Cricetulus griseus: one gene and its partners. The protein of the gene in region 2 interacts with the protein of the main gene of each other region in a pairwise test. Links are inferred from orthologs where the notes say so. Each region holds a gene or a part of one and is shown on either strand. Other genes may lie near its edges.

The links.
Region 1: the proteins of keratin-associated protein 26-1 (region 2) and Grn interact in binary tests that used the Homo sapiens proteins (3 or more experiments, as listed by UniProt). The two-hybrid records come from large-scale screens. The link is inferred for Cricetulus griseus from reciprocal best matches to the Homo sapiens genes KRTAP26-1 and GRN.
Region 3: the proteins of keratin-associated protein 26-1 (region 2) and glycerophosphodiester phosphodiesterase domain-containing protein 5 interact in a two-hybrid assay, tested with the Homo sapiens proteins (2 studies listed by BioGRID and IntAct). The two-hybrid records come from large-scale screens. The link is inferred for Cricetulus griseus from reciprocal best matches to the Homo sapiens genes KRTAP26-1 and GDPD5.
Region 4: the proteins of keratin-associated protein 26-1 (region 2) and Ccnjl interact in binary tests that used the Homo sapiens proteins (3 or more experiments, as listed by UniProt). The two-hybrid records come from large-scale screens. The link is inferred for Cricetulus griseus from reciprocal best matches to the Homo sapiens genes KRTAP26-1 and CCNJL.

The regions. Positions count from the first base shown.
Region 1 is NC_048600.1:115,672,802-115,677,131, reverse strand, and holds the start of Grn (progranulin), read left to right. Parts: upstream 1-1,481; 5' UTR 1,482-1,554; coding exon 1,555-1,586; intron 1,587-3,992; coding exon 3,993-4,137; intron 4,138-4,247; coding exon 4,248-4,330. UniProt on the Homo sapiens protein: Secreted protein that acts as a key regulator of lysosomal function and as a growth factor involved in inflammation, wound healing and cell proliferation. Regulates protein trafficking to lysosomes, and also the activity of lysosomal enzymes.
Region 2 is NC_048597.1:8,799,555-8,801,970, forward strand, and holds keratin-associated protein 26-1, read left to right. Parts: upstream 1-1,262; coding exon 1,263-1,895; downstream 1,896-2,416. UniProt on the Homo sapiens protein: In the hair cortex, hair keratin intermediate filaments are embedded in an interfilamentous matrix, consisting of hair keratin-associated proteins (KRTAP), which are essential for the formation of a rigid and resistant hair shaft through their extensive disulfide bond cross-linking with abundant cysteine residues of hair keratins.
Region 3 is NC_048596.1:100,169,395-100,173,740, forward strand, and holds the start of glycerophosphodiester phosphodiesterase domain-containing protein 5, read right to left. Parts: upstream 2,810-4,346; 5' UTR 2,791-2,809; intron 2,195-2,790; exon of another isoform or gene 1,469-2,194; intron 1-1,468. UniProt on the Homo sapiens protein: Glycerophosphodiester phosphodiesterase that promotes neurite formation and drives spinal motor neuron differentiation.
Region 4 is NC_048600.1:58,232,118-58,235,682, forward strand, and holds part of Ccnjl (cyclin-J-like protein), read left to right. Parts: intron 1-459; coding exon 460-673; intron 674-3,565.

The DNA of each region.
Region 1 (4,330 bases), on a different chromosome or scaffold from region 2:
TTTACCTGCTGAGTTTACCAGCCCCAGCCCCCAACAATTCTTTTTTTCTTATAAGGCAGTCCTGGGGCTGGGATGGAGCTCAGTTGATAGCATTTGCCTAGCTGACACAGGCCCTAGGCTTAACCCCAGAACCACAGAAACAGCACAGTTGCCTGCACTTGCAATCTCAGAGCTTGGGAGGCAGCAGGGGCAGGGAAACAAGAAGTTCTGGGTCATACTCAGATACATATCAAGTTGGAGGCTGATCTGGAACACAGGAGACCCTGACTCAGAGAGCTGCAAGGATACTGGGGCTGTGTTAAGCAATTACAGAATTGCAGAATTACCCTAGATACTCCACGTTGGCCTCCACTTTCTGGGATTCCTGTAGCTCTAGCCCAAGAAGCCCACCAGGCTCCTCTCTATGCAAGACTCTTACTGTCCTGGATTTATTCGTAGGGCTGTCCCCATTCCCCTGAGTGGCCTACCAGTCAAGCTCTTTGCTCCTCCCAGGGGACCTATCTTCCACACCAACTCTGCCTTTCCTACAAGGCCCAGCCTTGGGCTTTCCTGGGGCCTGTCCTCTTCCTGGCAGGTCTCCAATCAGCCATTTCTGTCTGGCCCAGGCCCTTTGGCACTCAGCAGCCTGGCTTTTGTTTCTGGCTAATCTGTTCTACTGCTAAAAATCTCTATTCATGGACCATGACAATTCCTCGAAGGTAGGGGTAGCTGAAACTAGGAGGCCTCTTGCACCTCCACAGCCACCAGCCTGCTTCACCAGCCCATGCCACATACTTAGCTCATGCCCAATGCCCTTACTTTGAATGTGGCTTTTAACTCTTGCTAGACACTGTACTCCCCATCTGCTTTCCTAACCTCTTCCGGAGTGCCTCTGTCCCGCCTAACCAGCCCCTTAAAATTCCTCTAGATTCAGTTCAGCGTGATACCATCTCCTGGCTAGCTCAAAGTGGATTTACATCTATTCTTCCCCTACCTTCAGCCAATCTCCTGCCTGGTACTCGCCCTTGAACATTTATTAGATTTAGTATCCCACCCAAATCTGGGGACTGTTTATCTTTACCCTCCCAACTATCTTTCAGCTTGTTTGGAGTCCTGGCTGCCTAGCGTGAAAACAGTGAATGTACAAATGTCCCGATCCAGAAGCCGACGCTATGCTGTAAACGACCTTGAACGCGCGCCCCGCAGGCGCCTTCTTAACTGTCGGTGGCCTTAGGTACGCAAGCCCCATCTCTAGAACACCTCGCCAGGCGCCGCCAGGGCCCTGGGGGGTGGGAGGAAAGCAACCGAACAAGCAAGCGAGGCCCTGGGGGAGGCGGGCTATGGTGTCATATGATTGCCTGGTCACATGATTCCTAGACATGGGGTGTGGGGAGAGAGAGGAAAGGGAGGAGGAGTGTGGATTGAGTAGAAAAGAAACACAGCATTCCTGGAGAGTCCCGCCTCTATGTAGACAAGTAGCCAATGGAAGCCCCGGATTCCCGACCCAGGGCTAATGGAAACTGAGGTGGGCGGGCCATCGGGCAGCCAAGCCCTAGTCCGAGAGCTGACAGCCAGATGCCTCCCAGGGAGTGCGGACCCCGAAGCAGGTAGGAGGACCCGCAGCAGACATCTCCCTGGCTGCTGTCCAGAGGCCTGGCCAGGCTTGCTGTGCAACTGAGGCTGCCCCGGAGCCTCAGCTCAGAGACGAGAGAAGTCCTGCCTCTTGAAACTCCCCTCGGGGTTTCAGATGCACTAACGAGGGTTTGTCATTTGGGAGGAGTGGGAACAGTTGCTGTAGACACCCCCAACAAGAGGCTCCCCTGCCCAGCATGTCGGAAAGCTGCAGGGCTTTCTCCAGAGCAGGAAGCGCCCCACTCTTGGGCCAGCTTCATCTCTCTCGGTGCCTCCCACCTCTTGTCTCCAGGTCCCGGCACTTTCTCATTCTGGTGCCGCCAGTAGTCTTCGCGGCGACTTGCAGTGGGTGGGGATCTCCCGCCCTTGGTCCCAGAGCTCAGAGGAGTTGGGAGCAGGAGTTGGGCGTGGTGGCAGAATCCCTGGGTTGTGTCAGCCGTACTTCCTTTATGGGGGGCGAGAGAGCTAACTTCCGCCTCTCCCCGCCACTTTTCCCTGCTCCTCTGCTGGATTGGCTCACCTTTTGGGAAATTCATCTCCCCTTGACACTCCGGAGTCGGGGGTGCCACCTAGTGGAAGATCTCGAAGCTAGGGCCTTGAAAGGCTCCTCCAGTCCTCTCAGGCTATTTCAACAGAGTGGTGTAGAGGTGGCCAGAGGTCACCACTCCCTAACCCTAATGAAAGGGATTAGGTCTCCCCTACCCCATTCTAATCTGGCCAGGAGATGACCTCTGGGATATTCTTTGAGAGGGTGCTTGAAAACCTAGAGAAGGAAGGGGAGGGGGCACAATGAGGGACAGATCCTCTATGTAGCCCAGGCTGACCTCATAGTCACCCTGTAGCCTGGAATTTGTAATCCTCCCACCTTAGCCTCCCAAGTGCAGGGATCAAAAGCATGTTTGTCATGCCTATCGGAAGCTTTGAGGTCTGGATGTTGGGATTTTGCCTTCCATGGCCACCAGTATTCAGAGTTTGAGGCACAGGAAACAATTTCTGAGGCCCTCAGCAATTGATCAGTGGCAGATTTTACACCGTCCCTGTACCCACCCTTTCTTTTGTAGATTTTTTTGTTTTGCTTTTGTTTTTGAGCAGGATCTTTTTGTCCCTGGCTGTCCTGGAACTTGCTATGTAGACCAGACTGGCCTTGAACTCACAGAGATCCACCTGCCTCTGCTTCTGGATGCTAGGATTAAAGGCGTGTGCCACCACCGTCTGGCTGTACCCACCCTATTTCTATCCTGTGTAGGTCACCTGCCTGGGAAATGTTCTGCCCGCTTCCCTCTGCTTGGACCTCTGGCCTCTGGGATTTGGGGTCCATTCCCTGGCAATGTTCAGGGATGTCAGTTGACATAAGAATCCAGGTCCAATATCTGCAGTCTGTTTTCTCTGACTTGATACCTGGGCATGGATTTGAAAAGTGAAAGTAATCTGATCACTGCTTTGCATAGTTGTGCAGAGAAATACAGTAAGGAAGGGCAAAGTGGCTCCCTGGAGGGTCTTTGAATATTGCTGTTTTTGCTGCCCCAGGCAGGGGAGTGTCACTCTGGGTTGCTGGGTAGGCCAGCTGTGCTGGGGAAAGACTTATTAGGGAAGTGAGAGACTCGGTTCCTCCTGCTAAGGCAGAGGGCCAGTGAAGAAGTACACTTAACTTTGCTCTTGCAGCTGAGTTTCGATTTCTGAGTAGGGAGAAACAGGTGGTATGTTTGAGGAGTCCAAAGGAGTCCTGGTGATGCTGAGGAGGGCTGGTTATGAAATTAGCTTCAAGGCTAATCCAGCCACCATGTGCCCTTCCCCTGGGTGGGGAGGGGACAGTTGTGGGCAGGCAGTGGCTGGCCTGTGGGAAAGGCAGCCCAGACTCCCCTGGCCACTGCACTTCCGTTTTCACAACTTTCTCAACCCCTGGTTTCCCATATGATCATGTGATTGACAACTCTGTTTCCCCAAGGCCTTTGAAAAGTACATGTGGGAGTTCAGTGCCAGGCAGCGAGGTGAGGCTGGCTGTCCTCTTGTGGCCGCTGAAGTCTCCTCCCAGTTAGCCCACAGTCCCATAAATCAAAGCCACATGGCTTCCTGACTGTCATAACTCCGCGCCTCTCCAGTCGCCTATAGTGTCAGGTGTTAGGCCAAGTGTGATGACATGATGGACACTTGTGTTCATGCCAGCATTCGTGCTCACCGTGTGTGCAAGCTGGTGCAAGTGTGATGCTTACAGTGTAGGATGCTGACTCAGGCAGCTGCTTGCCTTCCTGCTCACTTGTTGAGAAGTTTCAATAAATCCAAGGCATGTCATGCCTTGGCCAGGGCATGGGGAACTGCATGGACTCAGAATAGAAGGTGGCATAAGCTTAAGATGGCTGCCAAACTTTCCTTGGCATTTGCAGGCAGACCATGTGGACCCTGGTAAGCTGGCTGGCCTTCATGGCAGGCCTGGTGGCTGGAACACAGTGTCCAGATGGTCAGTCGTGCCCTATTGTCTGCTGCCTGGACCCCGGAGGAGCCAGCTACAGCTGCTGCAACCCTATTCTGGTGAGTGTCTCACGCCCCAGCTGGCATCCTGGCCTTTTGAAGGGTTACCTTGGATTGGCCAGAAGAGGTCTGGCACAGATCCTCTGGTATATGTCATTGCTTCTTTCCAGGACACATTGCCTATGGTAATGAGCGATCGTCTAAGTGGCATCTGTCAGGTCCATGACCACTGTCCTGGAAGTTACTCGTGTCT
Region 2 (2,416 bases):
TGGCCATGACCATTGAACATTAAAATAGAAGAAAGTGCTGTGATTTAAATTGAATTTTTAGCCAAAGGGTATGGAATTGAGATTCAACAGATAATTTAAATTCCCATTAAAGTAGCCACTGGAGCTACTGGACACACCAGTGGGTGAAAAATGCAGAGGGATAGTGGAATCTGACTGTTTTCATGCATTTAAAACAAGTTTGTAGAGACATACAAGTTTCTGCATCGTCTTCAAAGTACTCAAACCTAAGAAAACTTTGCATTTACTCTAATATTATTTATGCCAACCAATGCATGCAGTCCTTTATGGAAGTTGAGATCAGATGTAATATTTGAAATAAACACAATACTGTCATGGTCATCATAATAAACTCTTTTCTTTTTATCCAGAAAGATATTTTTGGTGGTAATATGAATAACACTGAAACATATACAGTCTGTTGAATTCGTGATAAATGCCATTTTGTCCAACCTTCTTTACAGAATTCTATGTATTTGCCCTTGCTCAAACTGGAATCCATCATTTTAACTGAACTCGACCTCATTACCTATATTCAGAAGTATCACAGACAAAACATGATCTCAAATGACTGTTTATTCATTTATAGAAATTAATGAAGCAAACACTCATTTCCCAAATGAACATGTTTTCATGGGAAACCATTTTATGTTCAGATGTTGAAACAAAGGAAAACACCCGAGTCTTTCACCTTATGTCATTTCGATTCTTTGGATCATAAAAGTTGAAAAATTTTAGTTTCTTCTGTAAATCTTTTCCTTCCTAAAATTTTCTATTGCTAATGTACAAAAAGAATAGAATTACATTTCAGTGAGTTACATATAACTTGCCATTATTCAAAGTAGTTTGCTTCAACTTACAGAGGCAATTCCAGGAGACAATACTAAGACAAATGTTTGTGCATTGGCGGTTACAACTAGAGCGAGTTCATAGCCTTCCAAAGTGTCTGCTTGGGTTGGTGTAACTTTACCAAGGATCCTATTAAAATCCGGTCACACTGATTTATAGTTACACTCAATCGATGGAAGGCATTGCAGGGATCATCCAGTTTTTATGAGAGGCAAGAGCCCTACTTCCTGGACATAATAGAGTTCAGATGCAGCCTAAAACAACAAGGAAGATGACTCTGTATACAGAACTGCCACTCTCTGAGCATATATAAAGAGACAAGGCCAGTGGGTGTCAGAGTCACACCGAGCTGCTCACATCTTCTCTTAGACCACCACCGCTCTCTAACTCTCACCATGGCCAGCCGTAACAACTGCTCTGCAAACTGCAGCTCGGGATCACTGAGAAATTCCTGCCATATCCAAGCCAACCCTTCTATTGCCCTCTGTTCTACAAACATGGGCTGTGGAGAGGTCTTCTGCATACCCAGCAACTGTCAAGATCATACCTGGGTCATGGACAACTGCCCCGAGACCTTTGGAGAACCTTCCAGTGGCCAGCCAGGCAGCCATGAAGCCAGCAGCTATGAGAACTCTTGTTGCTCTTCTGCATACTATGTGCCCAGGCCCTGCCAGGGCTCTGGCTATCTTCCTGCTTCATCCATCATCTCTGGTGTCTGCCTCCCAGCATCCTGCCGACCTGTGAGCTATGTGTCGAGCAGCTACCGGCCAGTGAGCCCTTTCTTCAACAACTGCCATTCTGTGGGCTGTGTGTCTGGTAGCTATCGCCCACTTCCTTGTGTATCCAACAGCTGCCGACCCCTGGGCATTGTCCCTTATGGATGCAGGCCTTCGGGTTGTATGTCTTATGGCCCTCAAGCCATTCACATTGTGTCAAACAGCTTCAGACCTCTGCAGCCTGCCTCTGGTAGTTGCCAACCAGTGACCCGTGTGTTTGGCACTTGTCGTCCATCATGTTCTGCTCAGTGAGGGAGTAGTCTCCTGGTGAACCACAATGGTGCGGATCCAGGATTAAAATCTCAACACTCTGGACTCTTCTTCCTCTCTGAGTATTAACTGCTTTTTCTTGTTTGCACTGTATCTGAGTTAATGCAAACTTCCTTTCACATTGTGAATTGCTTTTATCTTTCCTTGATGTAAAACCTCTGCCCATACTGTAGTTAATATTTCTCAAGTAGGAGCACTACGTACCTGATATAATCCATATTATAATAAATGAGACTAATTCAGAATTAAGAATCCAGTGCATTTATTCATCTTTCATTACATTATGCTAACCCAAAAATGGGGACCCTCAAATGCTTGCCAGGTGATGCTGTACCATATGCTTTTATCTGACTCAGGGTAATGGTTAAGCAATTTAGAAGCATAATGACTTCAGACAAATATGAGGGTTGAAAATAATGGCCTTTGGGTAGGTTTTGGTCTAAAAGGAAACTCAACAGTAACCTCTTACCTCTGATTTCTAGGGCACATATCTCTGGCAGAAT
Region 3 (4,346 bases), on a different chromosome or scaffold from region 2:
GAGCTCTGTTTAGATCAAGGATTATTATGAGGATTTGGATCCTCAGGCAGAGGTGGGGGAGGGGGAATCCCAAGCCCCTTAGTTACCTTCTAGGCCCCCTGAATCCCCTCCAACCCCAGGAACAACCTTCTAGTCTTTAAGACCCTGCTCTATCTCCCAGGGGCTTTCCATGGTAGTTCCCCCAGACTCCAGGGAGCCTGGGGAAGTAGTAGTCCCAGCCAAGGCCACAGTGCCCAGACCAAGGCCATATGCCTCCCCCTCCCCACCCAGAACAAGAGCCCACAGAGTCTGTGCCAAATGTTCTTTCACAATACCTCTCTCCTGCACAGATCCAGAGGCAGTGAGAGGAACTTCTGCCTGGGAATCGAGACACCTGGACTGTGTCCCCAGAGCTGTCCCCTAACCTTAAGACCTGGAGAAGTTCTCTCCTGGGCCAGAAGGGTCTTGCAGGTTCCTCTGCAGTAATAGAGACTGTGGCCAGGCCTGATCTGAACCCCAGTCCAACCACACACATGGTCACCCCAGCCACATACATGATCACCCCAGCCTCACACATATTCACCCCAGCCTCATACTGGGGGTATATTCACCCCAGTCACAAACTCCAAAGGTATGAGCTGGGAAGGGGCCAGGACCCCTGATGGATGTCTAGAAATCTTTCTCAGGTCTACTTCTGGCTCAATCACTCACTGGCCTTAGGGCCTTGGAGCACCTGTGCTTCCCCCAAGTCTTCAGAAGGCAAGGTGGGTGAGTTCTGAAGGGTCTACAATTCCTGCTTTCACATGGCTGTGGCGTGGGAACCAACATGGTGAGTCCCTAACAGATAAGAATACTTCAGGAACTTGGGGCCCCTGACTCTGGGTAGCAGGTTGTCCCTCCAACCTGGACCACAGGAAGAGATCTTTTGATACTGGGAAGCTTCCCACCTCTGCCCTCAACGCTGGGTCGCTTTTCCTGGCAGGTGGCATGTCCATAATTCAGGAGTCACCGCTAAAAAGAAGTACCTCTTCAGCTTCAAGATCGATCAGTACTTGGATTTTGGATGTCCCCGTGGCCCCCATCTTGCCAATCTCCTGCTTGCAGGCTGTCTACTTCCTTTCTTCTCCCCTCCCTCTTTGCTCTTTCTCTATCTTCTCCCGTCTAATTCTCCTTACGGGGAGCAGAGGTCCTCAACCCGGTCACGACTTAGTTTCCCCTATCGGTCCGCGTCCATAACAATCACAACGGCTTTAATCTCAAGGAGGGATAGCACCGAGCTTTGGATAAGGAACAATTTGTGTGTGCAAGGGCGGGGCTCGGACCTGCACACAATGGGCACTCAATAAGTGCCGGTTTCTCTCTACTATCTTTTGCACGCCCTCTCCTAAATAGTTGAATCTCTGCGGGTGTCCCCTCCACGCCCTCCACTGACCGGGGCCCTGCCTCTCGGCTCCCGGGACCGCTCCCGCCGCGCATCCGGGGCTCTCACCTGCAATCTCGGCTCGCTGGAGACTGGGGCAGTAGAAGCCCCTGTGTTCTCTTTGGTGCAAGCACCCCCAAGTCCTTAGCCTCGGTCGGAGGAAGGTGGCAGCTTCGGTTCGCAGCACCAGACCAGGGGTTCAGTCTGACTGTTCTGACTGCTTGGGACCCCTCACGGTGCGCTGGACCCGGGAGGCGCCAGTACAGTTTCAAGTCCGGAGCAGTCCGGTCCAAGGCAGCTGAAGGTTTGGTTCTTCGGGAGCCGGAGGCCGGTGGGCGTCCCGGCTCCTCTACACTCAGGTTCGGAAGCTGGGACCACCTTGCGCGGACCGGGAACGGAGAGCACACGGGAGAAGATGGGCTGGTATGATAGGGCCGGGCGCGTCCCGCCTTGGAGCTCCGGATTAAGCAGCTGAGGACCACCGGGCTGGTAAAGTCCAGGCGCGGAACGCCGAACTCGGACCAGCAGGGCAGGGCAGGGCAGGGCAGGCTGGGAGCCAGCGGCCAGAGCACGGCAAAAAAGTCTGCCCAGGTCCCGACACGGCTCGCTCTGCAAATCTGGGCGGACCTAGCCCGACGGCGGACTCTGGAGCTCTGCGCCGCCGCTCCACTTCCTCCTCTTATCCGCTCCGCGCTCGCCACTTGCTCAACCCGGCGCCGCAGCCTCTGCCACCGCCGCTGTCACCCTAGCTGCCCACCCCCACCCGAGCTGCAGACCGAGCCGAGCCGAGCCGAGCCGAGCCCCGCCGAGACAGCGCCCGAGCGCCCGCGAGCCTGGCCCCGCCCCCAAGGGTGGGGCCAGAAGAGCCCCCGCCCCTAGCCGGGCCTCGGGCAAAGGCGGGGCGTGCAGGACTATGCTAGGCGGGTCCCTGCGCGGTTGGGCAACTGGAGCCAATGGGAGAGTGGAAAGAGGGCGGAACTCTGCTGAGCTTGGTGTGGTGTGGCTGGAGGAGGACAATGAATGCGGTGTGCTGCCGGGGTGCCGGCCGCCTGGGGACCAGGATGGAGGGAGAAGCGTGGGGACATGGGTTGACCGCGACCCTCGAGAGCAAGGCACGGAGGAGACGAGATTGGGACCGGGAAGTATCTGGGTGGCGGAGCCCGGGGCGTGGCGTGATGCTGCCGGCCTCTGGCTCCTCCTAGCTCCTTGCACCGAGCTGCATTTGAGAGCAGTGAAAGGTTCAGATTTTAGGAAACGTTGCAAAAGAAGTTTTTAGAAATAAAGAGCAGATCTGTTTCCCACACTTCCCCTTTCTCAGCGTTCGGCGGCTCAAGGAGGAACGTCGTTTTTAGTTTCAAAATTAAGAGCGAAGATGTGTGAAGACAACTCACCTCGAATCGTGACATCTGTTGGCTGCGCACCCGCTCCCCGTCCCCGGCCCTGACTTTGAGGCCCCAGCGTCTGTGCCAGGCACTGAGCAGGCGTGAAGGGGTTTGATATATGAATGAATGTTGCGAGTGCGCGTGGGCGGGGCATATGTCACTAATTGGCCTAGGGAGCCCTGGGATGAGGCGGCACAGCACAGCTTCATCTGTAAGCCTGTCTTATGCGTGGAGCCCCATGTCACTGCTGCCAGTGAACCATGACTGAGGAGGTCCCGTGATGTACTCCAGATTCCCGTTACTGGTCTAGGATTCTACCCACCATCTCTGTGACATTCTTGGGCTAGACTTGCTTTGAAAGGTGGCTTTAGCCTCCTGTGGCTATGCTCAGTCAGTTCAAGGTCATCCTCAGCTACATAGTGAATTCAAAAACCATTGTGGTCTGCATGAGACCCTGTCTCAAAACATAATAATAATGATAAACTCAGAATGTTGCAGCTTGACAGGGAAAAGAGTGAGGAACCAGATGGGCAGTGGGCTTAGAAGATGGAGGGAATGGCATTCCTGCAGAAGGGACATCTTTGGGGATTTCTTCCTTGAATTTGGTTAGCAGAGGCTTCCCTGAGCAGGTGACAGGCATGCCGAGGTCAAAAGGAGATAGCAAGGTTAATAGGAACATGTGCTCCTGGGGAATGAGTTTCAGACTTAGCCAAAGGACCAAATGTTTCTTTGGCTCCTCCTGAGCCCAGGGCCCAGCCAGATGAGAGCCTGGAGTGAAAGGAAAGCCATGAGAAGTTTTCAGTCCACTGTTGACATGATGGAGTTCTGTAGAAAACAAATGTCTTTAAAACACATATCCCAGGAGATGAGTGGCACAGGGCCTGCCCGAAGACTAAAGATTCCTGATTGAACTTGGTAATAGTGCTAAGATCCTGTATACCTTCCCTTTTTGCCAGGAACTTTCTTCAGCTTTGAGTTGGCAATACCATCAAGTCCTGAGCTCCTATCCTGTTATTGTAGCCCCCTGTTTTGACCTGTGCCACCCAGCCTTGTCTTTCCACCTCTTTTCTCTGCCTCTACATCACACCTCTCTCAGATTAAAGAATAAGTGAAGGGTATTGTCTCCACACAGCTCCTCCCAGAGGCTGCTCTTATGGCCCTCCTGCGCTGTCATGTACCCCACCTTGAGTTTATCCCTGCTTCCTATGGGACTGAAGGTGAGAGTTTGAGACCCAGTGCTCACTAGTTTTCTTTCTTTTTTTTTTTGCCTTTTTTTTTAAATTTGAAATACAAACAAGATTGAATTCCAGATCCCTTCTCCCTCACTAGTTTTCTTTACTACTGTGTCTCAGAGCCTAGGCTGGCACCCAATAATTGACTAACAAATGTCACCCTCTCTGAGATGCCTTCTTGAACTCCGAGGCAGCCTTTGGTCTGGTTCACTTGCCTGGAAGATTCTTTAGGCATGTCCATTGCCTCGTTTCCCCCCACCCTTCATGGTTGGGAGCTACTCTGTGTATGTATGTCCCGCCCACCATGGCGCCACTAATGCCTGGTGGCCCTTG
Region 4 (3,565 bases), on a different chromosome or scaffold from region 2:
GGGGGCGGGTCACTCACAGTCCTATGCAGAGGGAATTAACGGAGAACCCTGAGAGGTTCCCGTGTGCTAGACGTCCGCATACATTTCATCAAACCTCAGCTACCGAAGAAGAAACAAAGGAAGAGAAGTGATTCATTCGGCTTCTCAGTAGAACCATAATTTGGAAGTGAGTCTCTGCCTCCAGGGCCAACATTCTTTTGTGGTTTTAGGTTTCTGCAAGCACCTTTCTTGGGGAAATGCCTGATTTCTCTGTCGTCATGCAAGTCCTAATGGGCCTGTGCTTTGGGAAGGGGGGTGGGAGCTGATCTAGAACACAAGTTCTGTTGCCTTGAACACAGTGCCACACCTGAGACTTGAAACAAATGAGCAAGGATGTAGAGAAATGGCTGCCCTCCCTGCCAGTCTATGGGCAGACCTGGGTCTCAGTGTCCTTGACCTTTTTTGTTTACCTTCCTCCAGGAACTAAAGCTTCCCACCTTCCGCGCCCACTCCCCACTCCTGAAGAGCCGTCGGTTCTTTGTAGACATTCTGACCCTGCTGAGCAGACACTGCCATCTGTGCCCCTCAGCCCGGCACCTGGCCATCTACCTACTGGACCACTTCATGGACCAGTACAACATCACCACCTCCAAGCAGCTGTATACTGTGGCCGTCTCCTGCCTCCTGCTGGCCAGTAAGTAGAAACTTTTTCTTCTGCAGCCGGCTGAGTTGTTGCCAAACCACTACCTACTTCCATGGCCTTTGTCGTTCTCCTTTGCTGGGTGGGAACTGTTTCAGTAACTGCCAATAGTTTTTTGCACCTATAGTATACCAGAGAAACTAAGGATATTCACAGTTTGATCTTAAAGAGTCTACATGGTGACTTTAGAAGACAGTCTTGGTTCTCAGTGTTATCAAAGCTCAGAGAAGCTTAGGAACTTATTTTGGGTTGCCCAACTAGTGTATGACAGACAGTATTTGAAACTGTAGCTGCTTGATGCCAGGCCTGTGTCCTTGATCTCATGTTTCCTGCCTCTTTCCATGAGGGCTCTATATGGCCCTCACCTCCACTGTTTTTAGAGGTGTCTAGAGATGAAACTGCTTGATTTGGACCTAAGCTGGATCCATGATGTTGTCACCAGGCCTGAGCACATTCCTTGTGTAGGATCTACACTTTCCAAGGAGGCTTCACTGAAAACAGCCAACCTCTGGCCATCTGTTCTTGGTGAAGATTCCTCTATACTGTACTGTAGCTTGGATGAGCTCCTGACCACACAGGTCTACTTGTCACCTTGCCACTTAAAACCACTCCATTCAGTATAATGGTCAGACCTCAGGTTCCTTTCCCTCTGGATTCATGTTTCTTTCCTCATCACTCTCTGGATGGCAGCCACACTGGTGAAGCTCTGTCCCATCACAGACCTCTGCCTTCATTGCTTCTTGCTGCATTTGTGAACTCGGCACACGGGATCACATACTTAGAATTAACACCCACTAGTGATGGAGAGATAGCCCAGTGGGTAAAGTGCTTGCTGTGGGTTTGAGTCTCTGGTATCTACATAAATGCCAGGTGAATGTGGCAACCCACCTGTCATCCCGTCACTGGGGAGGTTGGGACGGAATCTGCAAGGCAAGCTGACTAGTTAGACTAAGCTGTGGATTCAAGTGAGAGATCCTGCTTCAGTAGATAAGGTGGAAAACAATCTAGAAAATATCTCATGTCAACCTCTAGCCTTCATAACACATGTACACACATGTGTCTATACACATGCAATCCTGTACTCAGAGAATTCCAGAGAGGGAAAAGAGCTTGGAACATGATTTTCCCTCATAAGAGCATTTGTAGAAACAGCAAAATGAATGAAGCTTAGGAACCTCTCGGAGGAACCAGGGTTCCACTTTCCTGTGCTGCCCATAGTGCAGGGAAGTAGAATGTTCCCTTAAACCCTGAGCTCAAACTAGCCAGCTGCCACTGAGGACATTTCCTTGGTACCCAATATTACTATTTTTACCCTTAACTTATAATCCGGTTTTATGTTCACCTCCATGCTGTGTTACTACTCTGTGCTATTAAATATTTCCTAGCTATACGATAGGAGGATAGCACCCACAAATTGCTGGGATTTGGTCTGTTCTTGGCAAATTGCTCTAAGCCCCATGGCTTAAACTCTCTCTCTCTCTCTCTCTCTCTCTCTCTCTCTCTCTCTCTCTCTCTCTCTCTCTAAGCCCCCATGGCTTAAACACATACACACTCATGAACGACACACACAGGCATACTCATGCACACAGCAGTTTTAGAATTTTGTTTGATTGTTTGGTTGTTTGGTTGACTAGATGGCTGATTGATTTTTGAGACAGGATCTTGCTGTATAATCCCAGTGAGACTGGAAGTCCCTTTATAGATCAGGTTGCCCCAAACTTTGTGATCCTCCACAGTGTTGGGATTACAGCCATATGTCACCGTGCCTGGTGGGAGAGTGGCTTTCAAGTTTCCCACACGCTGCCTTATTTTCACCTAGGACCTCTACCCTATTGTAAGTTGTCTTTAATGTGGACCAGCTAGAATTTGCAAGTTATCAGTGGGAGCCAATTTTGTTCAGAGCCCAGCCTTTTGTAACATCTTATCATCTCAGGAAGAGATGATGAGGCCTGGGAGATGTTTCCATCAGAGAAGGGCAGCACAGGCATTGTGTTTCAGGCACACCATGGCCTTTGGCCTGTTGCTTCTGTGATCTGTGGACTGCAACGAGGCCTACTGGGGGCAGGAGACTTATATTTCCTTGGGGCTATGGAGCTCTCCCCCAGCATCTGTCTGGGGAGCCAGGATGTAAGGCTCACACTGGAGACACCATTGTGCTTCTGTCGCCATGGTGGAGGAAGAGAGCCTTCCAGATGGAGAGGCAGACCCCCGCCCCCACCACACACACACATTTTGATGGGCCCCAGCCAGCCTGGGAAGGCAGAAATGGAGTTTTCAGAACACCTGCCATATGTTCCAGGGCTCAAGGAAAGAAAAGTTCCTGTGATGGCCTGAAATCCTATTCACCCCTCCTCCCTTTTCCTGGGCTCACTGTCAGCCACAGGGTAGGTGGGGTGGGTCACCTTGCCTAGGGAAGCTTGGAGTTCTGCTGATTCGGTGCCAAATTTCTCTGAGATAAGAAAACCTGGCACCACTGTCCCCACCTGTGAATTCAAAGGGTTTTGCTTTAAAAAAAAAAAAAGATTTTGTGTGTGTGTGTGTGTGTGTGTGTGTGTGTGTGTGTGTGTGTGTGTGTGTTTATGTGTACATGAATGCAGGTGTCCATGAAGGCCAGAGGATTGTATCTCCTTGGAACTGGAGTTATTGTGAGTCACCTAATGTGGATGCTAGGAGCCAAAGTTCTTCGTTGGGGGGACCCAATGAAGAACTGAACTGGAGTCATTTGCAAGAGCAAACACTCTCTTATCCACCACTGAGCCATCTTTCCAGCCCCAGATTTTCAGGGTTTTATGTGTAGGTGTGTGTGTGTGTGTGTGTGTGTGTGTGTGTGTGTGTGTGTTCTTGCACGCACACACACACATTTGTGCACTTGCATATGGAGACCCA